7 linked regions of the Mus musculus genome follow. The protein of the gene in region 1 interacts with the protein of each later gene in a biochemical or structural test. Links are inferred from orthologs where the notes say so. Each region holds a gene or a part of one and is shown in the gene's direction. Other genes may lie near its edges. The genes, in order: Rac1, Arhgdia, Arhgap32, Iqgap1, Arhgef7, Hace1 and Pak2.

Region 1 (4,025 bases):
GGATCTCCAGGGCAAGCTGGTTGGCTAGATTAACTGGAATTGGCCAGTTTTGTGTTCAATGAGAGATCTTACTTCAATATATATAAGGTGAACAGCAACTGAATACACCCAGTGTCAACCTTGGTCTTCTATACACATGTGCACCACACATGTGCCCACACATGAAAACATGCACACACACACACACCACAGATAACCAAAAATATCTTTAATGTTCTTGTCTTCTAATAGGCTACCTTATTTGTGAATGAATTATATGCTTACCCTATCATATCAGCAATCTTTAAAAGAATTCTTCTGACCTTTATCCTTCTGTTTATTATTTTAATGGTATGTATGTTTTTTTTTCCTTATATTTTTGTTTATTTAGTGCTCCCTCCCCACCCCCCACCCCTATTGAGAAAGTCTCATGGTAGGTCAGGTTAACGCTGGACGCTACATAGCCAGAGGTCAAACTTCAGATGTTTCTGCTACCTCCAGTCCAGAGCTGGGATTCCAGGTATGCACTACCTGATATATACCACATCTGTTTCATACCGTCGTGAGGTTCAATCCTAGGGTTTCATATCTGTATCTGCTCGGGGAAGCACTCTACCAATTGAGTTGCATATCCAGAGGTTGGACTTGAGGTTGATCCCCAGGATTCTACTGCTTCCGCCCACCAAGTGCTGGGATTACAGGTGAGCCACCAGGGCAGGCTGTGATGTGCTAGGGATGGAGCCCCAGGCTGTACATGCCGGCAAACATTCTGACTTGGCTACATCCCTAGCAGTTTCTTTTTTGAGACTGGATCTCACTGTGGCACGAGCTATACAGAATTTTCTAGCAGGATCTTACGCTACAGCATACTGTAGTTATCACATAACAAGGGGGCTCAGGAATCTCTCCATGGAGTTGGCACAAGTAGGTTGCGAGCGAACGGGACCCTACCACTGACCCGAACCCGTAACCCCAGGATTCAGAGGGCTTCCTAAACCTGGTCACAACCGGGACGCTTTAGCGTGCCAAGATGGCGGCCGCCCCGCCCCGCGGCCGCCGAGCCCGTTCTCCGGCTGGAGCCGACTGTTGCCGAGCTTTCCCGAAAGCCCGTGGAAGCCAGGAACGGCGCGGGCGGGCGCGCGGGCGGGCGGGAGCGGCCCCGCCCGGAGCCTGGGAGCTGCGTCGACGGCACCGAGGGGGAGGGGAGGCCGGATGTGAGTGGAGCGGCCATTTCCTGTTTCTCTGCAGTTTTCCCCAGCTTTGGGTGGTGGCTGCTGCTGCGCTTCGCCTTCCCGTGCGCTGAGGGCCCGGCGGCGTGGACAGCAGTCCCGGCACTCGGCGCCCCGCCGCCCGCAGCCTCGCCCAGCGCTTCCCGAGCCCGCCGCTTCGCGCCTCAGCCACCGGCCGCCGCCGCCGCCGCCGCGGCCCACCGAGCGGCCCAGATGCAGGCCATCAAGTGTGTGGTGGTGGGAGACGGGTGAGTGCACGGCCGCGCCTGGCGCTCCGGACCCGGTGCCGCGCGCAGCGCCATCGGGGGCCCCCGCAGGCCCGAAAAGCCTCGAGCTGGCGTAGAGCGCGCGCCCGGCCTTCTGGGGGGCGCGAGCCTCCCACCCTCCCGGGCCTGGTTCCGGATTCTGGTTGGGGGAGGGCCTGGGCGAGCCGGCCGGAGGGAAAAGTGAACTCCACCCTCCTGCCTTCTTCCCGGGCCGGACGCCGCCCGTCGCCCTACTCGACTTGGCACGTAGGCGAGGCTGGTTTGAAGAATTTTTCTTGAAACATTTTTAAAAAAAATTTTTGTCTTTTGAGAAAGGGACGTATAGTTTCTTCATTTACTCAGGGTACCCCCTCGCACCCCCCCCCCCGAGAACTGGGATAGGTAACGGCCTCCAAGTCGGCCGGCCCTGGTCGATGCATGTTTGCACCAGTCACTTGGGTGACCTGGAACTTGGGAAAGGGCTCGGTTGCTTCGACTTGACAGGGTGTTTATAAAAATATTCATTTTCACACTTACGCCGAGAAAGTTACTGGGATGCTAGCTGAAGGAGTGTGATGAAGACTGTCCATTGAACGAAGTGTGGTTATTAAAAACAAACAAACCTTCTCTGAAGGCATTAGATATGGATGTAGCAGATCCAGCTCCCTGTGACTCGAGGCAATTCTTTTCGTGATTGACCGTGATGGTTTCAGGCCCTTGAGGGAGACAAGACTGGTCTTATGCAGTCCGTCCCGTTCCCCCCACCCCTTCGGTAGAAACAAGAATCTCAGTGTAATCGGAGCAAAATCGCGCGTCTCAGCGTAGCTTGTGTAGGTTCGTGTTAACGAGGAAGCTTGGAGATTTACCACCCGTTTCCTCAAACGCAGAGTGCAACTGGTCCACTTTCTAGTTCAGTCGAGTACGTTGCCAAACTTGCTTAATGCCTTCCACACTTGCAGTGAGCACTCGCCGCCCATGGGTTTATGAGCCCGTGGATTTATGAGCGATTGTTCAGCGTATTTACAGAACTCTACATTAGACTTTGGGATCGTCCCTGTAACTAAGTCAGCCAGACGGTCAGAGAACTTTATTTTTCTGCTAACATGTCTGTCTGTGGGATTTGTCTCGGAGACAGGAAGTCTCATGGATACGGTTCAATGTATTTAACGACACACTGGAATTTCATTGAGTAGGAATGTCAATGGTGCTTTCCTTTCACCTCCTAAAAGAAAGCTTTGTCACTTGGGGCACTTAGTTTGATAGTGAAGATGTTGTATTGTGGGGCCGGGGTCTTTTTGTGTAAATCCTAGTTTCTGACTGCCTTGGTCCCAACTCCATGATTCTCCTGTTAGGAGGACATGGACATAGGCGTTGGGCTTACAGGTATGAGCCACAGGTCTGCTTTAAGTGAAGGCAAGATGGCTGGGTCTGTCTGTCTGTCTCTCTTTTTGTATTGCGGTTGAACTATAACATAGCACCTTGCTGGGGAACGTTTAAAACTTACCTGAACTTTCCTTGAAAAGTTAAAAATGTTTCACCAGCAGTTTGTGGGCTGGGGAATACTACCACATTCCTAGTGTTTTAATAAGTTAAATTGCTCTGTCACCATCCTCTTTTCCTCCCAGAGCTTAGGGACCAAGGGGAGGAAGAGAGATTATAAGAGTCAGAGGTCAGGGACACCCAGCGGAAACAGTATTTTCTAGATTCCACTTGTGAACTCAGCAGCAGCTGTATAAGATCCTAGCCCAGGGCAGAGAGGGCCTAGGCTGAGTCGAGATGGGCCCTTGATGCTTCTAGGGGTGAGCCAGTCAGTGTTCTCTATGGATGTGGTCCTTGAGGGAAACTAGCCCCAGTGTGAGGCCTCACACTGTTGAGTCTATGGATGGGCAGCACAGATTGGACTAGGTGAGTTTTTAGGGCTGGGGTGGAGTTGGAAGGAAGTAGGGATGACTATGAAAAAGTACATTGAAAGACATCTCAAGACAATTACTTTTTAAAAAGGTAAATTGCTGCTGATCCAAACCCAAACCTTAGTGCTTGGGAATTCCTAAGACCTGACATGCACATGCAGCAGGTATGCCAGCACTCATTCTGTAACCCCCACCCCCAGCTGGGCCTCAGGGCCTTAGGTTTCCTGGCACGTCTGAACAGCTGAGATACGTCTTAGCCTGTTGCTGGCTTTAAAAAGAAAATCTAGTAAAAACGTGTAGAATGCCTCCTGTAGGGTTCATTTGGATTGCCACACCTTTCTTTTTCTCCCTACATTTTTTAATGTGTATGGGTGTTTTTGTGTGTATGTCCGTGCCGTATGTTGATGCCAGCAGAGGATCTCCTGAGACTGGAGTTACTGAGATCGGTGAACCATTAGGTTGTGATAGGAGTGGAACCCAGGCCCTCTGGAAGAATGACCAGTGCTCTGAACTGCTGAGCCATCTCCAGCCCTCAGTACCCTTTTAACCTACGGAGTAATCCTCAGCATATCATTTCTTCCTCAAGAGAGATGCCTCAAGGGAAAGTTAAACAAGCCTAAATGAGATGCTGAGTATGAAGAGGCTCTTGAGTGCCCGGTCCT
Region 2 (4,106 bases), on another chromosome or scaffold:
GGATGCAATGCCCTCTTCTGACCTTTATGGGTACTGCACACAAGTGGTTCAGAGACTACTTCAAAATATTGATATGCATAAACATAAAAACGCAGCTTTGGAAGATTTGTACTTTGAGCGTCAAACCAGGGAATTGTGGGTGGCACAGAGCTCAATAAACCAGGCTCATCCAGTTGGAGGACCATGAGCCTCCTGAAAAGCCAGCTTGACACACTTCGTTGGGCACACCTGTGTGTAGGTGGAAGGCCAGCCAAATTCATCATACAGTAAGAGTGGGGATAGTCACGTGGCTTTTTGTTTTAGAATAGTTCTGCATAGAAGAGCAGCTACCTGGATGTAGGGTAATGATATTGCAAATCCATCTTCCTTAGAGATAAAAATAAATGAGCTTGAAAGAACACTTGGTTTGCTTCAGATTGATGTATAGCCAGAGGGTATGCGTGCTTGTGTAAAATAACTGGGCCACAACTGAAGATGGAGAGTGGAGGCCATTGGATTCCTCATCTTTTAAGTTTGATGACTCTCCGGAGCCAACAGCTGTTTCCTGGATACCACAGGGGCAGGTGTGGCCAACAGAGCAGGCCAGAAGCGATGGCTTTTGTGGGATTAAGCTATAGAAGTCCCCGTAGTGCCCCTTAAATTCCTGCCTCCCCTCAGTCTGAGGCTACACTCAGAAGAAGCCAACATGGAGTGCCCTCACGGAGTAGCAGGAACTGAGACTCCTCAGGAGGAACTGGAGTGGCTGGCACAAGCACACGACCGGGAACCCCCCCAGCCAGGCCCTCCACTAAGGAGGCTCCATCCTCAGCGTCGTGAAACACGCCTGGCGGTGATGGTGCACGCCTTCAATCTCAGCATCCTGGAGGCAGAGGCGGGCGCGTCTCAGGGATGAGGTTCAAGATAGGCAGGCAGCCCGTTCCAAGGAAAACCGCTCCTCACAGCAAAACCATACAACTTCTAACATACGGGGGCTCGGGGGGCACGCAGTCCCCAGAGCAATGCGCCAGGCAGCACAGCTACAGGGCACTGCGGTCGGTGAGGACTGTGGTTCTGTTGACTCTGAGGACAATGGGACAAGGGCCAGGCACGGCAATCAGGGAACCCTGGGAGCCACAGAATGGCCGCGCGACGCTGCTCTGGAAGAGCCGGCTCTCGTGTCCCACAAACCCTCGCACCCGGCATTCGGCAGAAGGCGCGAGGGCGCCGGCCCACGCGGGACGCGCCCACGAGGCCCGCAGCAAAATGGCGACGGCGCCGACCCGCGCCCCCTGGCGGCGCATGCGCAAGGCGACCCCGCCCGCGAGAGCGGAAGTCTTGTGACCCCGGAAGTGACCGTCCGAGCGGCGGGCGGCGGACGACGTTCGTCATTTGGTGCGGGAGGGAGCGCGAGAGCGGCGGTCGAGCCTCCGGTGAGTGGGCGCGTGGCGCAGCGCGGTGCAGTGCGGGAGGGGAGTGGGTTGGCTTTGTGCGGCGTCGCGGGCGACTGCGGCGCTCGCGGGCGGGGCGCGGTCACCCGGGCGGGCGGGCGGGGCGGGCCAGGGCGGCAGCGCAGGTCCTGCCGGAGGGGCCGCGGCCCCCCGGGCCTGCGCGCCTGCTACCAGGGGACCCCCTTCCTCGGCCTCGCGGGCGGGGTCCGGCGCGGGGCCTGGCCCGGGGCTCCCGCCGCGCGGCCCCGCCCCGCTCGGATTGCGGGCTCTACGGAAGTGCGGGCCGCGCCCTGATGCTGTCGCCGGCGGCCACGCTTGGCGTCGGGTGGGGTTGTCTGTAGCCTCCGGGTTTCGGACCGCCGCTTTATGTGTTTCCTTGGCGGACACCTCTCAGAGGGACAACGGCCGGGCTCTTCCCGGGACCGCTGCGCATTGCCTGTAGGCATCACAGTGGGTTTCCGAGAGACGTTTGGGAATCTGCGGAACTGAAAGGCATCTAGGCGCTTCCGTCCTGGTTGGTTCCTCACCGCCACTAAAGGTTTAGGGTCAGGGCCCAGAAACAGGCTCCTGAGATTTATTTGCAAGCGGTGCACTAGCTCCCAAGTTGCATACGCAGACCCTCACTAGAGAGGACAGACCTGCGTATTTAGGATCCCCTTTGGGCTCTTGGGATTTAAGCGGTCATCACATAGTTGAGCTTAGGACAGTATTCCATTGGAAGGGACGAACAAACAGACCCTTGTCCTGCACGTGGCTAACATACAGAGCATCTCCCTGTCGGAGAACTTACCTCCATGACCCAACCCAGTAAGATGAGAGCCTGGGCAGCTAGGGACAGCAACAGGACCCCAGGGATTTAGTGTTGCGTCTGCCAGTTCAGTTCGGTCTGGAGGCTTATTCTTAGTGGGGAGGAAAGGTGTTTTGCTTCTCTGAGGAACAGGCTGTGGTCCCATTTCGTTGCTTGGGGTTCTAGTCCTCTCAAATGGGCCTCTGCGTAGGGCAGTGGCAGCATCCTCTCAAAGTTCCAGTCAGGTGTCCTGCAGGTGTCAGGGTCTGCCTAGGGTGGAATGCCTCCAGGCTGTCACAGTCCTGCTCATGCCCCGCCCACAGGTGTCCCAAGCTAGAGGTAAGCATGGCAGAACAGGAACCCACTGCTGAGCAGCTTGCGCAGATAGCTGCAGAGAATGAGGAAGATGAGCACTCTGTGAACTACAAGCCTCCAGCCCAGAAGAGCATCCAGGAGATCCAGGAACTGGACAAGGACGATGAAAGCCTCCGAAAGTACAAGGAGGCCCTGCTGGGCCGAGTAGCTGTCTCTGCAGGTAGGTGGCTTGGAGGAAGGATGTCATCTAAACCTGTGCCCAGTCTCTTTCCAGACCACTCTTCCAAGGAGTGAGTTTAAAAAGAAAAATCTTAAGGGATGGGACTCTGACTCTTAACTCTCACTCTGCAGACCCCAACGTCCCCAATGTCATTGTGACTCGACTGACCTTGGTATGCAGCACTGCCCCAGGCCCTCTGGAACTGGACCTGACAGGTGAGTGGGTATTAGAATCCCTGGGTGGGGCCAGCTGGCATCTTGCCTCTACCCCTAAAAATAATTTTCTGCACTGATGCCCTCTGGTGGAGAAGAGGGGAAGTGCAGCTAGGGGCTTGCCGAAGCTCTGCTTTGTGTCAGGGAAGGGGCTGGGGAGAGTGAATGTAGCAGGGTGGAGAGCCCTTCAAGCAAGCAGTCAGCGGAGACTCCTCCTCAATACAGGTGATCTGGAGAGCTTCAAGAAACAGTCGTTTGTCTTGAAGGAAGGTGTGGAGTACCGGATAAAAATCTCTTTCCGGGTAAGGTGGGGGCTTTGAGAGGCCTGGAAACAAGGGGCAGAGGGGCAAGCCTGGGAAGGCAGCTGACCCTGGCTCTGTGTCCCCACAGGTGAACAGAGAGATCGTGTCCGGCATGAAGTACATCCAACACACATACAGGAAAGGGGTCAAAAGTGAGTGGGCGGGCCATAGAGTGGGGAGCCATTGGGCCTGGGAGGGGCGTGCAGCACCAGTAATCCTGCCTCTCCTGTCCCTCAGTTGACAAGACTGACTACATGGTCGGGAGCTATGGGCCGAGGGCCGAGGAGTATGAGTTCCTGACACCCATGGAGGAGGCTCCCAAAGGCATGCTTGCTCGGGGCAGTTACAACATCAAGTCGCGCTTCACAGATGACGACAAGACTGACCACCTGTCCTGGGAGTGGAATCTCACCATCAAAAAGGAGTGGAAGGACTGAGCTCCAGCTGGGAGACGGGCAGGGCGACGGACAGACAGAAGGACCGACATGCCCCACCCTAACCCCCTACCTACCCCAAACCAAAGTGCTGACAGGACCTCCCTCACCCGTCATTCCTCCCTAGTCCACTCAGGCAGTCAGCTCTCCTGTCTGCCCCTCCTCCACCTCCTGCCCGCAGGCCCCTGTGGTCTCCAGTGTCACATTGCTGCTTCTGCCTGTGCAGTGGGGGAGGGGTTCCAGCCCAGGCCTCCAATCTGCTGTGTCCCTCCAGGTTCCCTCTGTCTTCCCTTCCTCAGGCCCTGGCTTCTAGAATGGAACAGAACACTGTCAGGGTTGTCCAGCCCACCTTGTCTCTGTCGCAGCATGGGGAAGGGCTGGGCTATCTGTCCTCTAGTCCCACCACTCC
Region 3 (3,500 bases), on another chromosome or scaffold:
ACATATTAATTGTATGAGGTTGGCTTTTCTCTTTGAGAAATGTAGACATAAGTTATGCTGAAATAGCTTATTCAGAAAGTAATGTCCTCTGAGAGTCTCCACCCAGCAGCCAATGGAAAGAGATGCAGAGACTCACACCCAAACATTCGATGGAGCTCAGGGTGTCTTATAGAAGAGTTGGGAGAGTTGAGGGACCTGAAAAGGACAGGGACTCCACAGGAAGACAAACAGAGTCAATTAGTCTGGATCTTTAAGGTGCCTGAATCACCATCCAAAGAGAGAGCCTGGGCTGGCTCTAGGCCCCCTGCACATATGTAGCAGAGGAGCAGCTTGGTCTTCATGGGGGTCCCCAACAACTGGAATAGGGTTGTCCCTGAGCCTGTTGCCTGCCTGCTTGTGGATCCTCCTCACCTAAATGGACTTCCTTGTTTGGCCTCAGTGGGAGAGGATGCACCTAGACCACAGGGACTTGATTTAAGGAGGAACTAGGGAAATGGGGGTGACACCCAGTAGGAGGCTTCCCCTTCTCTTTTGAGAAGGGGATGGTGGAATGGGGGGAGGACTTGCATGAGGGAGTACTGGGAGGAGGAAAGGGCTGATGTTGGGTTGTAAAGTGAATAAATAACTTTTTAAGAAAGAAATGGCAACAGGCAAGAACCAAAAAAAAAAAAAAGAAAAGAAAAGAAAAAAGAAAAAGAAAGTAATGAATGCTTAGTGACTTCTCTGACACTGGTTCTTGACCAGCAAGAGAATCACTGGTAACTGAGACATGCAAACCCTCCTGCCCCAGCCCAGTCCCACCTGGTCAGGAACTGGAGCGTCCAGTGCACCCTGATAAGTGCAGAAGTTGTCATGATCCCAGAGAAGCTGCAAGCAGGACTCATACAAACTTGCATGAGGCTTTTGTTTCACTACAGTTTTTGGTTGTCACTTGGTTTCAGGGACTTGAGCGCTATGACACGCACTGCAGTGTGTCCTGCCGGTGTCCCTCTGAGGTCTTACCCTCACTGCTTCTCTAAGGAAATGCTAGTAAAGGGTGTGACTCCCTTGCGAGGGCTGTAGGAAGACAGATATATGTGCAAGTTAGTTTGGATGTTCCTGCTGCTCTCCTGGCTGTGCCCATGAACATAAGGCTCTTGTTTCCTTAGGTAATGTAACACTAGCAAACCTCAGAATTTCCCTTTTTTCATTTTTGGGTATCCTTTACCTTCATTTTTTTTCTGTGACTAAAGAACCAGAAGTTGGCACATGTCTTTATCATTTCTAAGTTGGTCCTCAGCACCTTGCTTTCATATTTTAGCCCCTGTTTTACAAAGAACAAATGTCTTTAAGTAGAGATTCAAAAAGTAGACATTAGGATGTAGACAGGCTTGGGTTTCATGAAATCCTGATGCCCTCATACACTTTCACAGGATTAGGAAAGTAGTTGAACTTCTTAGGTCTTCATTTCATCAGCTTCTTGTGTGGTTATCTGGTTTTAAAGGACATCTAACTATACACAGGTAGCTGGCTCTTAGTCTGGATTCCTGCCATCCCTCTGTCCCCACTCTCTCCTCGCCTCAGCTGTCCTATACTGTCTTCTTTGTGGAGGCTTATTATCAATGTCTTCTTTGCACTTTTTTTCATCCTGAGGTGCACGTGGTCTTTGAAGCTATAGTTCTTGTTGCTCCCCACATTAGCTCCCATGCCTTGCAGAGCTGCATGGAAGGCTCCTATGTGGCTCCCATTGTGCCTCTCCAGGCTGTTACATTCTTTCTATTGTTTGTTCATTTCTTGTTCTGTAGGAAGGGATAGAGCCTTGGTTATCTTAGTACTGATAAACTACTTTTTGTTTCATAGAAAGAGGCCTCAGAATAAGATGAAAAAATCTCCCGTTGGCAGCTGGCGTTCCTTTTTCAATTTGGGGAAGTCCTCTTCTGTCTCCAAACGCAAGTTGCAGCGTAATGAAAGTGAGCCCTCAGAAATGAAAGCCATGGCTTTGAAAGGTAAGCACTGAGCTGCCCTGTTCTGGGTAGCAGACTGCCTGGTGGCTTCTGGCACCTACCACTGTGCTCACAGCCAACTTCTCTGGGTGTACCTTCCCGTTGCCATCATGACACACCTCACTGTAAAGCATGCATAGTTGTGTGGCCCAGCTTGGTTGTCTGCATGTGTGATTGCAGCTCGTAAGATAGTATCAGTTACGTAGAGAAGAACTCCGTTTCTTAAAAAAACTGTGTAGATGTTACACACACACACACACACACACACACACACACACACACACACACACACACACACCAGTAGTGCATTTGTGTCATTGCTTCTCTAGGGTAACATAGCTTGTATAGTGCTGGTAATAATTCTCCTGTGTTATGTACTTGTTTTGATCTTTAGTTTCACATATTTAAAATTGACAAGTCTGTGTTTGAGCATACTTTTCAAGTTTATAACTAGTTTCACCCATGTCATTCTCCTACGTGACTAGCCTATGGAGTACTGTGTTCCATCAGACAGATCTATGACTGTTAAGCAAATTACTCTTTAAAATTGATTTTAAAACTCGTGCTCTGATACGAACATGTTCTTAAACTAGAAAACCTAGTAGCATTTTTCTCTTAGGGACCATTAGAAGTAATGCTCAGGTCATTTACATCATACCGTTTACAACCAATTTATTACCTAATTGTTAGATATGTTGGCTCTGCAGAAAGAAAATTAAGGTAGTGCCCTGCCTTCAGAGTTTAACTAGAGAGCCTTCTATATGAGAAAACGACTCCCAGTATGCAGTTACAGCTGAGGGAGAATTTTATGCCTAGCATCTTTGGCTGGCATTGTCAGCTCTTATGGTGGTAGGATGATGGTCAAGAATGTTAACTGTATTTTAGAAAATTAATATTTTGCTGGGCAATGGTGGCCCACACCTTTAATTCCAGCACTTGGGAGGCAGAGGCAAGTGGATTTCTGAGTAGGCCAGCCTGGTCTACAAAGTGAGTTCCAGGACAGCCAGGGCTACACAGAGAAACCCTGTCTCAAACCCCCCTCTCCCCCCCAAAAAAACTTAATATTTTATGTGTATGGATGCCTTGTTTGCATTTTTTTTTTTACCTTTTTTTTCCGAGACAGGATTTCTCTGTGTAGCCCTGGCTGTCCTGGAACTCACTTTATAGACCAGGCTGGCCTACTCAGAAATCCGCCTGCCTCTGCCTCCCGACTGCTGGGATTAAAGGCTTGTGCCACCACGCCCGGCCCTTGTTTGCATTTGTGTGTGTACACTCCATGTGCCTGGTGCTCATGGAGGCCAGAGGAGAGCCATGGATTCCCTGGAACTGAAGTTATAGTGGCTGTGAGCTGCCTGCCATGTGGGGGCTGGGAATCAACCCCAGGTCCTCTGAAGAGCATCAGTGCTCTTAACCACTAAGCATGCTCTCCAGCACCAGGAAAGAGAACTTTCAACTTGGGAGTTGAAGAAGGTACAGTTCACCTGATCTTTAAGGCGACTGAGAGTCCTTTCTCAGGAG
Region 4 (2,624 bases), on another chromosome or scaffold:
TATGTGCCACCATGCCGAGCTGCCTAAATATCTATTTTTGCACATTAAAAAATGTACCAAATAAGGATGGTGACACGCACCAGTAATCCAGCTCTCAGGAGACAGAGGCAAGAAGATTCAGAGTTTGAGGCCAGCCTGGACTTCATTGTAATTCCTGGCCAGCCTGTATAGTGAAAGCAATCTTCAAAATCCAAAGCCAGAAATAATCAGACAATTGAAAGGATTCATGAGCGGTGTCCAGACCCAACTATGTGTGTACCACATAGTAGACCTCTTACGGTTTTTGTTGGTTGGTTTCTTTTTCTTTTCTTTTTTTTTTTTTTAAAGATTTATGTATTTATGTATGTAGCTGTCTTCAGACACACACCAGAAGAGGGCATCAGATCCTATTACAGAAGGTTGTGAGCCACCATGTGGTTGCTGGGAATTGAACTCAGAACCTCTAGAAGAGCAGTCAGTGCTCCTAACCAGTGAGTGACCTCTTCAGCCTGGTTGGCTCATTTCTTTTGCAGTGCTGAGAATCAAACTTTGAGCCTCACACATGCTCTACTGCCAAACTGCTCTTCCATGTCTTGCCACACCCTGCCTTGCTTGCCACTGCCGTGGTCTAGCAAACCAGGCTGGTGCCTCTCTGTGAGCAAGCGTTCCGCCTTCTGCACAGGATGCTCTCCCCTCCTGGAATCAGCCTCCCTCCCTCTGCTCCCTACCTGCCTCCTGCCTCCATCAAACAGTGAGCACTGGCCCGCGCTGCCCCCCTACAGCCGCAGTGATGGCCCTTCCCCTTGACTCAGCAGCCCTGAGACATCCTCTGTTGACAGTGCGAGCTGACTCATTTCCCTGCCACCCCCAAAACTGGGAACTCCTAAGACAGTATGTCTTAGTCATCTGTACCTCCCTGTTGGTAACCAGTAGTCTCTCAGCGCATATTAATTCAGTAACTGTGAAAGGATTTCTTCACACACTGTAACTAAGCATACTGCATACAGTCCCTATTCCATTGGTTTCACTGCCAGTGCAGGCCAACCAGTCTGCTAAGGAGACTGTACACTGCTGCTCGGATTCAGGAACTGGTCTGCCTCATAGGTGCCTGGGGTTAGGGTTAGGCTAGGCAGAGAGGACACACCATGGTCCCCATCCTTGGGACACTGCGGTCCCTTCATGCCCTTCCTCACCACCACTCACCAGTTTAGTGGTAGTGACGACAGTGCTGTCGTAAGCCGCCAGGACTGCAGAGAACATTAGAAAACAGCCGATCATACCGATCACCCCAGAGCCAGCTCTTTCCTGATGGCCTTGCCACCCAACACTTTGAGCCTCAGCAGCTCATCTCTAAAGTTCAGATAATTATGCTTCATAAGGTTTTTGTAATGCCTTGAAAAAATAGTGTGTAAGGTGCCTAACCGAGGCCACACACAGGCTCGGTGCTGGATGGTTGCTCCTCCTGTTGTACTTGCATTTACGTTAGACAACCTTTCTCATGCGGAGTTGAAGTTGGAGTCATATTCAGTTTACAAGAGACCCTGGGCTCAGTCTCCTAAAAACAAAGGACTCCAGTAGACTGCAGAGCTGGAGATGTAGTTCTGTTGGTAGAATGCTTGTTTGGCAGGCACAAACCCCTGGGTTTGATCTCAGCACTGTAGAAACTGAGCCAGGCAGCACATACCTGTCATCCCACCATGGGGTCAGGAGTATTCGGTCAGCCTGTGCAAAAGTGCCAGGGGTGGAGGCGGGGCGGGGGCAGAGCAACTGGTAGGTACTGAGACATTACAGGTCATTCTCATTTTCATTTCTCATTCTCATTGGCATATTTCATAAATTGAAATGCCTTTACTTTTTCTATGTGTATTAAAACCTCTAACCTACATCTGAAACAATGGGGAAATGCCATCATAACTTCTTTTTGATTAATCATTCCTTTACATTTCAAATCATATCCCCCTTCCAGTTACCCCTCAACAAATCCCATCCCATCTCCCCTCTCCCCTCTCCACCCTCCCCTTTGCCTCTTGAGGATGATGCTTCACCCACTCATCCATGCCCTGCTCACTGCTCCAGCGGCCCCTACCGTTGTAACTTTTGAAATAAGCTTTAAATGTATTTTAACTGAACATAACTCCTAATTTCCCTTTGTGTTTAGAATCTTTTACTATAAACTAAATGATAACCTAAGACTAAGTTGTAGGCTCCCTGTTGCTCCAGCACCCAGGGTAGCTGGCCCCAGGGCAGTCGTGCCCCGTAAAGCTCTGCACTGAGAAGTGTGTCTGACCTGCTGCACCATTTCACACCTGGCACAGAAGTCCTGCCTCTCCTCTCCTGGATCGTGGGGTCCTTCCTTTTCTTGTTCTGGATTCGATGGTGAAATTGTTTTGTTTTGTTTTTTAAACAGGACTTGCTGCAGCTACAGTATGAAGGAGTTGCAGTTATGAAATTATTTGATAGAGCTAAAGTGAATGTCAACCTCCTGATCTTCCTTCTCAACAAAAAGTTCTATGGGAAGTAATGGGTCGCTCGCCGCCCAGAAGAGTTAACAAAAAACGGCAGCACCTCACGGCTGTCTTTCTAGGATCCTCCATTATTCCTTAGAAGCAAGGACCTGGTCCAGTGGCGGTGCCTCAGTTCACACT
Region 5 (3,500 bases), on another chromosome or scaffold:
TTAGGTGTGTGTTGGCTTTTGTTACTTTGAAGCAAATGATTTTTAGTGTACAAGAAATATTTTTATGTAGCTGAAGAGGTTTGTCAGGTAGATGAGAGCAACATTGACTTAACAGTTTGTCCTACTTTCTTGTAGCTTGAAGAATCCACCGGTCCTCAGGCCTCAGTAGCAGTTTCTAAGTTCTTTTTTCTGGGCCACGCGCAGACAGTTACCAAGTAATATTCAAAGATACTCCATACAAGGATGGAGAGGGCTCAGTGGTTATGAACAGTGGATGTTCTTCCCAAGGACCTGGGCTTGATTATCAGCACACACATGGCAGCTCACAACCATTTGTAACTCTAGTTCCAGGGGGTCCCACACCTTCTTGTGGTGTTTGGGCTCTGTTCACATGCAGGAAGACATCACACATATAAGCAATACAAAGAAATATATCCTGACCTTTTACTTTTTCTTTTCTTTCCCCTTTCTCCTTTCCCCCTTCCTCTCCCTCCTTCTCCCTTTCCCCTTTCCCCTTTCCTTTCCTTTCCTTTCCTTTCCTTTCCTTTCCTTTCCTTTCCTTTCCTTTCCTTTCCTTTCCTTTCTTCTTTTTTTCTCTCTCTTTTCCTTTTCCTTCTCTCTCTCTGTCATTCTTTCATTCTCTCATTCTCTCTCTTTCCACAGGATCTCTGTTACATAGCTCTTACTGTCTTAGAACTCAATATATAGACCACTGGCCTGGAATACACAGAGATCTGTTTGCCTCTGCCTCCCATGTTTTGGGATTAAAGGCTTGTGCCATCACACCTAGCTAAATAAACCCTTTTTTTTTTTTTTTTTTTTTTTGGTCTTACAAAGCGCTCACAAGCTCTATAGCTCTTTCTGGTTATAGTTCTCCGACCTGCTGAGGTTTAATGTGGGTTTGGTTAGATTCTGGTGGCATTTAATATTGCTCATCTAGTTTGGTAGAAATCTCAAGTAGAAATAAGGTCTGAGATTCCATGGGATCTGGTATAAAGATTTGTGCACACATTTATGAACAGATTCTTTTTACTATTAGGAGAAGAATGAGAGATACCTCCTGCTCTTCCCAAACCTTCTGCTCATGTTGTCTGCAAGTCCCAGGATGAGTGGTTTCATCTATCAGGTAAACACAGCTACACTGATTGTAGTTTTTGTTTGTAGTGGATGTGGCAATTGTTCTCCTTTGAATTGAATGTATTAATGTTGTACTCACCTGTGTGTGCCACGTGTGGTACCATGTCGTGACTCTGTGTAAGAACTCTGTGTGTTCACGTCTGTTGCATCTTTTGATGTGACTGGAGAGCAGTGAACAGCCCACATCCATCTCTCCCTGACCGCATTGTCCTCTGCAAAGCACATTGCTTCTCTGGGCTTTCATGTTCCATTCTGCCCAAGGTAGGTTCAGCTAGGTGCTGAGGGCTAAGGTCTTCAGTAAGGGGTAGAACATCCCAAAACTCTGGACTTGGAACCTGATCATTTAACCTTAGTAAACTGTTAGTAAACTTTCTTTTAGTGTCTTGGTTTGTCACCATTTCTTGGAGAACGTTTGAGAGTTAGTTGTAAGAGAGAGTGTGAGGGACTCTTTTCTGTTAGTCCCCACCAATGGTGGGGACATTAGGTAGGGTCTGGGAGATGCTATCAGTGATCCTGTCTCAAGGACTGGCTAGCCTCCACATACTATTTTAGTGGATGTTGTTGTTTCACTTTCAACCGGCTTTTCTCTGATGTGTGTGTTTTATGTTGTCCTGTGGAAAATAGATGTGGCTTGGTCTGTCCCTAGGAGGGCTAGTTACCACAGGTGTCCCAAGGGAGCCTTTACAGATAGATGGCCGAGCAAATATGCATGGGAAGAGTCAGAAACCTGAGGCTTCCATTGGTGAGACCTTCTGGGTGGCTAAGGTGCCCGGGTGGCAGCTCCCTGTTGAGAGATGCCTGTTTCTGGCTCCACTCCATACCCTAGAGCCCCAACCTAGGCTGGCACTTGTGCAGGGGCTGTCTGCTGTTGCTGCAGCGTGCTCCTAGAGATGCCATCTCTGTACCAGGGCCATCTTTGTTCCCAGGAGTATGCTGATTAGCCCTGTGGTGATCATCACCTCCAGTGCTTGGAGGCTAAGGCAGAAAAATCAAGATTTTTTAGGCTAGCTTGGGCTACATAGCAAGAGTCGTCTTAAAAACAGAACCTCCTTGGCTTTGGGGATGGCAGCTCTGGCAGTGGGACTGCGGCTCCATGGCTGAAGATAAGAGGCGGCTGCTGGGAAAGCGCAGCCAACACTCCTCTGTGGGGCTTCTTGTCCTCAGCCACTGAGGGGTTAGGCCTCTGTTGCGCTTTCAGCCTGGCCCTCAACTGTTTGGACTGGGTGACTTGTTTGTTTGGTTTGTTTTTTGCCTGGAGTAGGGCACAAGATAGGGAAACCGTCGTCGGTAGTTTTCCTTGTTTGCTTTGGACCTCTGTTTACACATCATAAGCAGTTTGACTCCCATGTCCAGGTCACAGTCCATCCCTGAGGATAGTGCAGGACAAGCAGGAACAGAGAAGGAGAATAAGAAGGAGTGCCCTGCTGCCTGCCTTCCCCTGCTCCCCCCCACCCGCCATGCCTTTCTAAGGTTTTGAAGCCTCTGCCCAGAGGTGGCATTTTGCATGGTGGGCTGGGCCTCCTGCTGTCAGTCACTAATCAAAAGTACCCGGGCAGGCTTGTCTGTGGGCCCCAGGAAGGCTGACAGTCCCTCTGTTGGGCTTTTCTCCTGCTGATAGCTTTAGTTGTATCAAGTGGACAAAACTCATCAGCACAACTCCTGTCTCCTGTCTGCTGGTGAAAACCCTGTTCTCTTTGTAAAGATGTGGCCTTTGGCAGCTGGCTGTCACAGTTTATATGGCCCAGGGAAAGCTGTTGCCTGCTGGCTTTTACTGTTTAAATGAGCTTTGTCCCCCTGTTTTTCTCAGCTGGCATTTCCTGCTTCATGGAGAATCCCTCCCATTTTACAGACAGACTGACTGCCACTTGGGCACCCTGTGGCATCCGTTTGACATCACGGCTTATTTCCTGTTTGAATTGTCTCTCTCTGTGTTTTTGTCTCCATTACTCATCAGCTGGCTCTTCAAACTCCTAACTCCTTTCTCTGTGAGGCAGTGAGTTCTCTGTCATATGCCGTTAAAGCAGCCACTGTGCACCCTGGCTCCGTCTTCTGTCTTCCACTCATAGAATCACCCATTGGGTCAAGATCCTGCTTTGGTTCAGTTTGGGTTCTTGATCTGGTTTGACTGTTCTTTAAGGTGTCCTTTAAGCTCTTTTGTACACTTAATTCTGCTGCCACGTGTGAAGTCATTTAATGTGTGTGGTCCCTTCTTTATTAGGAAAACATTGTTTTGGGGGGTCTTTTGTAGGGGAAGCTGCCAACAACAGGAATGACAATCACAAAGCTTGAGGACAGTGAAAACCATAGGAATGCATTTGAGATATCAGGTAATGTATCCACACTGTGCCAGTGCCATGTCCTTG
Region 6 (3,500 bases), on another chromosome or scaffold:
TTGGTGCTGTTTCATTAATTTTATCAGTTTGTCTTTGTTTAAGCCTTGTTTTTCAAATAGTAGTGTAAAGCACAAACTCAATGTATATTCTGCTCTATGAACAAATGAATTTGTAATTCACGTCAATGGCCAGAAAAAGTATTGAAGGGGAGTTAAAGTCAAGGTGTGGCTTTAGATTTCACTATTTTGCTAGGTCTTTTGGAAGTTAGTGTGTCATTTTGTCTTTCTCCTCCTCCTCCTCTTCTTCTTTGGTAAAATATAAAATTCACCACTGAAGACATTTGAAAGTAGATCGTTTGTTAGCATTAAGTCCTTTTGCTATGCTCTGCAGTCATCACCAAGTCTAATTCTGGGGCTGTCCCACCAGCCTGAGGAGAAACTCTGTACCTTAGATTCAGCTTCCTCTACCACTAATTTATTGCGCCTCTATTCTAAATTTGTCTATTCCATATAGTTCATAAAGATGGACTGTATCACGCTACTACATAGGTTTGAGTGATCATATGGTTGCTGTTGTCACTTTCACATCATTGGTAGTTGTTTAAACTTGATTATTTGCCTTTTGAGAGTAGGATGAGTTAGGTGGGCAGAGTTCCCAGTCATTAATTGGTATTAATAGGCATCACATTCAGTAATCAAATTACTTAAGAATGGTTCTTTTCATAGTTTGTGTATCTTAATATGCAACATCTAGTGAGTACTGGGCATGTACAGATGAATGAAGCAGTGTCTGTCAGATTTATAGCTGAGTAGTTACTGCCACAGTTCCTAGAAAAATGTTTGCATATGTGTATGATCTTTTATTGTGTTTACCAGGGACTCTTTGGTGTCAGTCAGAAGTATTTTATGACTTCCTCTCAAGTGTGAACTGATGATCATCTTTTATACTTCCAATTCTACTGTCTTTCTGTAGATTATGCAAAGAACTGCATGCTGTAGTCTGCATAATGTAACCATAGCCATGCTGAGTGAGTTACATGTGAATAAAGTTACCTGCATTGGAATGTTCTTTTCTGCATATAGATCTTACTGTCCTCTATTTATTTCAATAGGAACAACTTTCCAGCCCAACAGCAACTCCTATGTCAATCCTGATCACTTGAACTATTTCCGGTTTGCTGGACAGATCTTGGGGTTAGCTTTGAACCACAGGCAGCTGGTCAATATTTACTTCACACGATCATTCTACAAGCACATTCTCGGTATGGATGTACCCTCACTTCTGAAGACATTTACATTGCTTTCCTTGCAGCTTTTAGAGAGAATGGATTGGATAAGTGCCAGTTTTGCCATTTCTGTTGAAATAATTACTGCTCTGATAAGAGACCATCTGTGTTCCTAAAGTATCTGGGGGCTAGAGGGAGAGAAAAATGCTCTACCTTTTTTTAAAATCACTTTTTTTTTTTTGCATTTCCATTTTAGTGTGTATGTGTTTATACAAAGCATCCATTTTTTTATGCATATACCTAAAGTAATTGGCAATTCTGAAGCTTATAACAGCTTCCTAAATAGCTGTTTCAAAGAAAGACAGCATTGTAAAGATGAAGAAGGAACAGCAGCTTAATTTAATGGACTTCTAAATTTAGAAATTAGCATCCATTTTAAACATGCTGCAAATTTGATTATATTTTGTGGTTTTTCAGAGTATCTGTAGAGGGCAGCATTTCACCATTAAATCAGTAAAGGGAAGTCAGAAGTGCCTATATTGTAACTGCTGTCTTTTCAATTTTCTTTTTAGGTATTCCTGTAAATTACCAAGATGTAGCATCTATTGATCCTGAATATGCCAAAAATTTGCAATGGATTTTAGATAATGATATTAGTGACTTGGGTCTAGAATTGACTTTTTCTGTTGAGACTGATGTATTTGGAGCTATGGAAGAGGTGCCTTTAAAGCCTGGGGGTGGAAGTATTCTTGTGACACAAAATAACAAAGTAAGTATCCAGATTTTTGCCTTAGTCATTCTTCATAATGGCCCTGATGCCAGTTTCTCTAAATTATTCCAGCATTTGCTAGAAAAACTTACTTTGTCATTTGCAAGTAGATGAAAGTACTTAAGTTAAGCAAACTAGCATATTTAAGACTTGAGTTAGAAAGAATCATTTTAGTTTAGTACTATGATGTGTTGGTTATTTACATAATTTAGACTACTGTTTAGCTGATTGTATTAGTTAAGCATTTGCATTTTGAAAAAGTTGATTGGAAATGTATACTAAGTGATGGTGTTATCATCACTTAGTTACTCAGTATTGTATAGTTTAAAAGTTAGATATTCACCAGAAACTTAGGATACCCAAGATATAAGTTACCATTTGCAAAACACATGAAACTCAAGAAGAATGAAGACCAAAGTGTGGACACTTTGCCCCTTCTTAGAATTGGGAACAAAACACCCATGAAAGGAGTTACAGAGACAAATTTTGGAGCTGAGACGAAAGGATGGACCATCTAGAGACTGCCATATCCAGGGATCCATCCCATAATTAGCCTCCAAACGCTGACACCATTGTATACACTAGCAAGCGTTTGCTGAAAGGACCCAGATATAGCTGTCTCTTGTGAGACTAGGCCGGGGCCTAGCAAACACAGAAGTGGATGCTCACAGTCAGCTATTGGATGGATCACGGGCCCCCCCAATGGAGGAGCTAGAGAAATTACCCAAGGAGCTAAAGGGATCTGCAACCCTATAGGTGGAACAACATTATGAACTAACCAGTACCCCGGAGCTCTTGTCTCTAGCTGCATATGTATCAAAAGATAGCCTAGCCGGCCATCACTGGAAAGAGAGGCCCATTGGACTTGCAAACTTTATATGCCCCAGTACAGGGGAACGCTAGAGCCAAAAAGTGGGAGTGGGTGGATAGGGGAGTAGGGGGGAGGGTATGGGGGACTTTTGGGATAGCATTGGAAATGTAAATGAGGAAAATACCTAATTAAAAAAAAGTTATTCAAAATTTTTTTATTTGTATGTATGTGATATCTGCATGTATGTGAGTAGGCGTGTCTCCAGTGTGGATGCACATGGAAGCCAGGTATTGGCAATGGGTTATTTTTCTCAGTTGTTTCTTGACCTTTATGGGTAGGGGCATTTTAGCAGTATTTATTGACACTTAGTGTAACTACATACTTTAGTGTGACAGTTGTCTTAGAAACTTATCCTCTGGGGACACGTGTATAGGTGCAGGTGTATGTAAAAGTTCTCCACAGAAGTGGGTGTGGTCTGAGAAGCAGGTTACATACTGCAGTTGCTGTGTGACATGCTTTCTAGAATACCTTGCTAAGTGAGAGAGTGAGTGGCCAGGGAATGTGTGAAGTAAGTGCAAAGCTCTGTGGAGGGGCATTTACTCACTCATATTTACAGACACCTACAGACAGGCCCGCAGTGACACAGGGGAGATCTTCAACGAGATCCTTCCTGTGTCTCTTGAGTCATTGACTCAATCCTGGTTTTGCTTGTTCTGCCTTATTTTTCCATGAGAGGCAGGCAGTATCTCTCATG
Region 7 (4,174 bases), on another chromosome or scaffold:
TCATCATATCTTGTACTACAGTACTTTTTTTTTCTTTTCGAGACAGGGTTTCTCTCTATATAGTCCTGGCGGTCCTGAAACTCACTTTGTAGACCAGGCTGGCCTCGAACTCAGAAATTCGCCTGCCTCTGCCTCCCAAGTGCTAGGATTAAAGGAGTATGCCACCTCGCCCAACTACTACAGTACTTTCTAATATACCCATCTTACACCAAGGTGCAGCTACATAAGTCTTGTGGTTTTGGTTGTGAGCCTAGCCTTCATCTCTCACTGACCGTGGCAATCCTCTTCCTACTTGTAATCCTTTCCCCTCAGTTCTTCCGAGTTCCTTTTTCTGTTTTAACTGCCACCTTCTCTGTCCACTCTGTCCACGGTAATCCCTCAGCTTTTTCCCCACCTTGTAACAGGTATCAGTGTTTTGGTTTTTATGTTTTCATACGTTTTTTTGGTTGTTTTTTTTCTGAGACAGGGTTTCTCTGTATAGCCCTGGCTTTCCTGGAACTCACTCTGTAGACCAGTCTGGCCTCGAACTCAGAAATCTGCCTGCCTCTGCCTCCCGAGTTCTGGGATTAAAGGCGTGCGCCACCACCGTTTTCATGTTTTTAACCTTTACAAAGACTAGGTGAAGCATGTTCATTTCTGGTACCTAAATGGTCTTTTGTAGATATTAGATATTGACATAGTTGTGGAATAAGAATACATGAATTAACTCCTCCATTGATAAAATACAGAAAAATAAAAAAATCTTTGTTTTGCAAAGAGGGAGGACCTAATTTAGCAGCATAATCTGATTCAACTTAATCTGGTTAAATTTGTAGGAAAAAAAAAAGCGGTGGCGTCGCATTCCTTTAATCGAGGCCAGCCTGGTCTTCAAAGTGAGTTCCAGGACAGCCAGGGCTATACAGAGAAACCCTGCCTCCAAAAAACCAAACCAAACCAAACCAAACCAAAAAACAAAGTGAGCTGGGCAGTACCTCTTCAGGAGGCAGAAGCAGGAGGATCTCTAGTTCAAAGTCAGCCTGGACTACAGAGTGAGTTCCAGGACAGCCAGGACTCGAAAAGCCATCCCTCCCCACAAAACACCAATTGGTGAATGGATACATTCTCAGAAACAAAGACCCTCTACACACAAATATGTTTGGATCAGCTGTTCTCCGTCAGCTTTGTCAGTAGGTAAACCGTAACTGCAGACAATGCAGAATGCTGATAAATGAGGGACAGGTTTTCTCTGTAACGCCCACTGTCCTGAGTCTCCCTAACAGATGACTAGACTACGGTTCCCAGCCGCCCTGTGAAAGCCCGCCCCTCGGGTCATGACGCCACTTTCAGGGCGGGGCTGTCTTACGGCCCCGCCCCGCGCCCCCGCCGCCGCCCTCCCCCAGGGTTGTGGCCACGCGCAGCGGCAGCGGTTGTTCCGCTTCCCCTCCGGCCCGGGCCGTCGCCATTGCCGAAGGCTCCTGCCCTCCCCTCCCTGGCCCAAGGGGTTCTGCGCCTCACGGCCTCGGTAGCGACGGCCGCGCCCCGCGCCGCTCCCCTCCGCCCTGCCCTCCTCCCTCTCAGCGCCCCAGCGCAGTGCTCGCCCGCGTCGGCCAAGCAGCCCGCCCTGGGTCGGGCGGAGACCTTTCCTCTCTGGTAAGTGCGGTTGCCGCTCGCCCGGGCCGGGCCGGGCCGGGCCGAGCCGCCGCCCTCCTCCCGCCTCCGCGGCCTGGGCCCAGCGGCCCGGGACGCCAGCACCTGCGGGCGGGCCCGCGGCTCCGGGCGGTGGCTCATTGTCTGCGCCCTGGCTCTAAGCTTCGGCCGAGAGGAAGCTTGCTGGGCTGTGGGGACCCTGGCCACTCCGGCCGTCCTTGCCCTTCTCTCCCGCCGGCGCTGCACCGGACGACTCGGGTTTGTTCCTGGATGTTCCCTCCTTTACCAGCTGCGTTCTCTGCAGTCTCGTCGCTCGGGAATCCTGTCGCGAGCTCCTTAAGTTCAGTGTGTAAACTCTTCCTCCTCCTCCACATTAGGAAAAAGTTTTTGCCGGGCTCTGGGAGCCTGCGTTTAAGAACAGAAGTTAAGGATCTTACGGTTTTTGCTTGATCTTTAGCCAGGAGGTGAATATTTGCTTCTTAAGGTTAACTTGGGCTGAGGTTGGCTTTTCACCATGTTTGGCTGTCTGAAACACGCGCGCCCTCACAAGAAAAAAAAAAAGTTGCTGCAAATAACTTAATGGACTCAGCCTTTTGATTAGTTCTAGATCAAGTCGTCCAAGACAGAAGTGTGTTAAATAATTGCCATTGTGGCTTGATGGGAAGGAGGCTCTCTCCATCCCCTGTCTTAATAGAACTAGGTAGAGTGGAAGTGAGATTTGTTTCCTCTTTGACAAATCACCAACTCCCATCGATAGCCGCCAGGTTCTTCTTTACAAGTGACCTGTAGATTTTCCAGCTTTTCGTTTCTAACCTTTTAAAAAAAGACAACCAAACCGGTTAGGCCCAAAATTAGACAACGACGAGCTGAGCTGTGTTTTGGGTGAAGGTTGTGCACGTCACGTTTTTCCCCTGCTGTATTCGACTCTTCCGCTCTTATAAAGTAGGCAGGATATTGAAATAAATACACAAGAATTTGCTCTGGGGATTTTTTTTTTTTTTTTTTTGGTAGAGCTATCCAAAAGAATAGTATGAATAAAATTAGGTTGGGATGAAGGCAGTGAGTAGTAATTTTTAAAACAGGTTAGGGCACGTCAACTTTGCCAGAAGCTCTGTGGCATTTGTAGAACATTCTTGCTTGTCTCTACCCCAGTTCTTCAGTTGGGGTGTGTGTGTGTGTGTGTGAAGGAAGCCTTTTTCGTATACTTTTATACCCATCCTCTGCCTTTCCTAGACAGGGCCTCATTCCAGCTCAGGCTGTTGTGACACTCTTCCTGTCTCAGCCTTGTGTGCTGGGATTACACGTGTTAGCCAACATATTTGGTAGCCTCTCTTTTTAGGTCTTTCTAGAGATTAATTAGCCAGGAACACTATTGTACATTTACATCAGGGAAACTGAATTTTATATTGTTGCTTAGATAGATAGAAAATGTAACTTTTGGGTTTTGGTAAAAGAGGTTGCCCAAAATTAAAAATGTTTTCTTCTTGTTTTCACTAGTACATTATTACCTTTCCCTCTGCCAGGCTATGGGGGAAATGGATTAGTATCAAGTACTGCCATCCTTTGGTACTGTGGGTTGTTCTTAGGTTAGTGAGTTGTCTTGACACTAGGGAGGAATGTCAGGGAATGAAAAAGTACCTTGAAGTTAGTTTCTGCTGTTTCTTTCTCCTTTTTAACCCCTTGTACCGGATTGAACCGCAGACCTCCCTGTGATGCTAGGCAAGTGTTCTTTGCAGCACTGAGTTACAAGCCCAGCCCTCTCTTCTCTGTGCAGACAGTCTCACTGTTTCCCAGGCTGGTATTGAATCTCTTCCCTACCAGGTAAGCCTTGAACTGGGGTTTTCTTCTCAACCTCCCTAGTAGCTGGGATTGCAAGCCTGTGCCTGCAGAATATCTCATTTGTTTCCAAAAGCAGGTATTTGTTTGTTTTTCTTTGGAGACAGCCTCTTTCTATGATACCCAGGTTTGTTTCAAACTTCTGGACTTAAGATCTGCGTCAGAATCCTAGCCAGTGAGATTACCATTGTGTTGGGCAAGCAGACATGTTTTTAAAAAGAGAATTCTTGGGTATTTCACTTATCTTGGGGCCTTGATTCCAGATTTACCTTTTGAGAGAAAGAGATTAATTCTTCTGGGCTTTGTGATCCGTGTCCTGAAACCTAAATTCATGAAGTGATAGTTTTTAGTTGATATATGTCTGATAAAAGGTTCTCGTGTTTCTTTGATTTTTATGATAGGCAAGTTTCCAACTAGACATGATGAAGGCTAGTTTTACGTGTTTTAAATGAGGAAATTTAAAACTTGTTCTGGTTAGCTAAAGATAAACTCTGAGTTATACTTTTACAAAATGCAGGAGCTTGAAATAATTGCCAAGTATAAAACTAGTAGCTATGGCTGAATCCTTACTATCTTCATCAGTATTGGTTATTACAGTAATAATGTTCCGTACTCGGTGCTTTCAGTTTTCTGGCTTTGGTTCAAATTGGACTGTGTTCCAGTCTTGAGACTAGGTCAGGCCTTTCTCTCCTCAAGCACTGCTAGTTACAGA

The links.
Region 2: the proteins of Rac1 (region 1) and Arhgdia are reported together in a solved structure, tested with the Homo sapiens proteins (2 studies listed by BioGRID and IntAct, with this or other methods). The link is inferred for Mus musculus from reciprocal best matches to the Homo sapiens genes RAC1 and ARHGDIA.
Region 3: of the proteins of Rac1 (region 1) and Arhgap32, one has a biochemical effect on the other in vitro, tested with the Homo sapiens proteins (3 studies listed by BioGRID). The link is inferred for Mus musculus from reciprocal best matches to the Homo sapiens genes RAC1 and ARHGAP32.
Region 4: the proteins of Rac1 (region 1) and Iqgap1 form a complex in vitro, tested with the Homo sapiens proteins (3 studies listed by BioGRID). The link is inferred for Mus musculus from reciprocal best matches to the Homo sapiens genes RAC1 and IQGAP1.
Region 5: the proteins of Rac1 (region 1) and Arhgef7 form a complex in vitro, tested with the Homo sapiens proteins (2 studies listed by IntAct). The link is inferred for Mus musculus from reciprocal best matches to the Homo sapiens genes RAC1 and ARHGEF7.
Region 6: of the proteins of Rac1 (region 1) and Hace1, one has a biochemical effect on the other in vitro, tested with the Homo sapiens proteins (5 studies listed by BioGRID and IntAct, with this or other methods). The link is inferred for Mus musculus from reciprocal best matches to the Homo sapiens genes RAC1 and HACE1.
Region 7: the proteins of Rac1 (region 1) and Pak2 form a complex in vitro, tested with the Homo sapiens proteins (2 studies listed by BioGRID and IntAct). The link is inferred for Mus musculus from reciprocal best matches to the Homo sapiens genes RAC1 and PAK2.

Annotation. Positions count from the first base shown.
Region 1 is NC_000071.6:143,525,194-143,529,218, reverse strand, and holds the start of Rac1 (ras-related C3 botulinum toxin substrate 1), read left to right. Parts: upstream 1-1,225; 5' UTR 1,226-1,421; coding exon 1,422-1,456; intron 1,457-4,025. UniProt on the Homo sapiens protein: Plasma membrane-associated small GTPase which cycles between active GTP-bound and inactive GDP-bound states.
Region 2 is NC_000077.6:120,578,825-120,582,930, reverse strand, and holds the start of Arhgdia (rho GDP-dissociation inhibitor 1), read left to right. Parts: upstream 1-1,306; 5' UTR 1,307-1,409; intron 1,410-1,683; exon of another isoform or gene 1,684-1,941; intron 1,942-2,537; 5' UTR 2,538-2,559; coding exon 2,560-2,749; intron 2,750-2,880; coding exon 2,881-2,964; intron 2,965-3,186; coding exon 3,187-3,263; intron 3,264-3,351; coding exon 3,352-3,415; intron 3,416-3,500; coding exon 3,501-3,700; 3' UTR 3,701-4,106. UniProt on the Homo sapiens protein: Controls Rho proteins homeostasis. Regulates the GDP/GTP exchange reaction of the Rho proteins by inhibiting the dissociation of GDP from them, and the subsequent binding of GTP to them.
Region 3 is NC_000075.6:32,248,803-32,252,302, forward strand, and holds part of Arhgap32 (rho GTPase-activating protein 32), read left to right. Parts: intron 1-1,839; coding exon 1,840-1,985; intron 1,986-3,500. UniProt on the Homo sapiens protein: GTPase-activating protein (GAP) promoting GTP hydrolysis on RHOA, CDC42 and RAC1 small GTPases. May be involved in the differentiation of neuronal cells during the formation of neurite extensions.
Region 4 is NC_000073.6:80,713,708-80,716,331, reverse strand, and holds part of Iqgap1 (ras GTPase-activating-like protein IQGAP1), read left to right. Parts: intron 1-2,386; coding exon 2,387-2,500; 3' UTR 2,501-2,624. UniProt on the Homo sapiens protein: Plays a crucial role in regulating the dynamics and assembly of the actin cytoskeleton.
Region 5 is NC_000074.6:11,811,558-11,815,057, forward strand, and holds part of Arhgef7 (rho guanine nucleotide exchange factor 7), read left to right. Parts: intron 1-1,039; coding exon 1,040-1,126; intron 1,127-3,385; coding exon 3,386-3,464; intron 3,465-3,500. UniProt on the Homo sapiens protein: Acts as a RAC1 guanine nucleotide exchange factor (GEF) and can induce membrane ruffling. Functions in cell migration, attachment and cell spreading. Promotes targeting of RAC1 to focal adhesions. May function as a positive regulator of apoptosis.
Region 6 is NC_000076.6:45,675,329-45,678,828, forward strand, and holds part of Hace1 (E3 ubiquitin-protein ligase HACE1), read left to right. Parts: intron 1-1,052; coding exon 1,053-1,202; intron 1,203-1,738; coding exon 1,739-1,935; intron 1,936-3,500. UniProt on the Homo sapiens protein: E3 ubiquitin-protein ligase involved in Golgi membrane fusion and regulation of small GTPases. Acts as a regulator of Golgi membrane dynamics during the cell cycle: recruited to Golgi membrane by Rab proteins and regulates postmitotic Golgi membrane fusion.
Region 7 is NC_000082.6:32,076,543-32,080,716, reverse strand, and holds the start of Pak2 (serine/threonine-protein kinase PAK 2), read left to right. Parts: upstream 1-1,374; 5' UTR 1,375-1,629; intron 1,630-1,665; exon of another isoform or gene 1,666-1,884; intron 1,885-4,174. UniProt on the Homo sapiens protein: Serine/threonine protein kinase that plays a role in a variety of different signaling pathways including cytoskeleton regulation, cell motility, cell cycle progression, apoptosis or proliferation.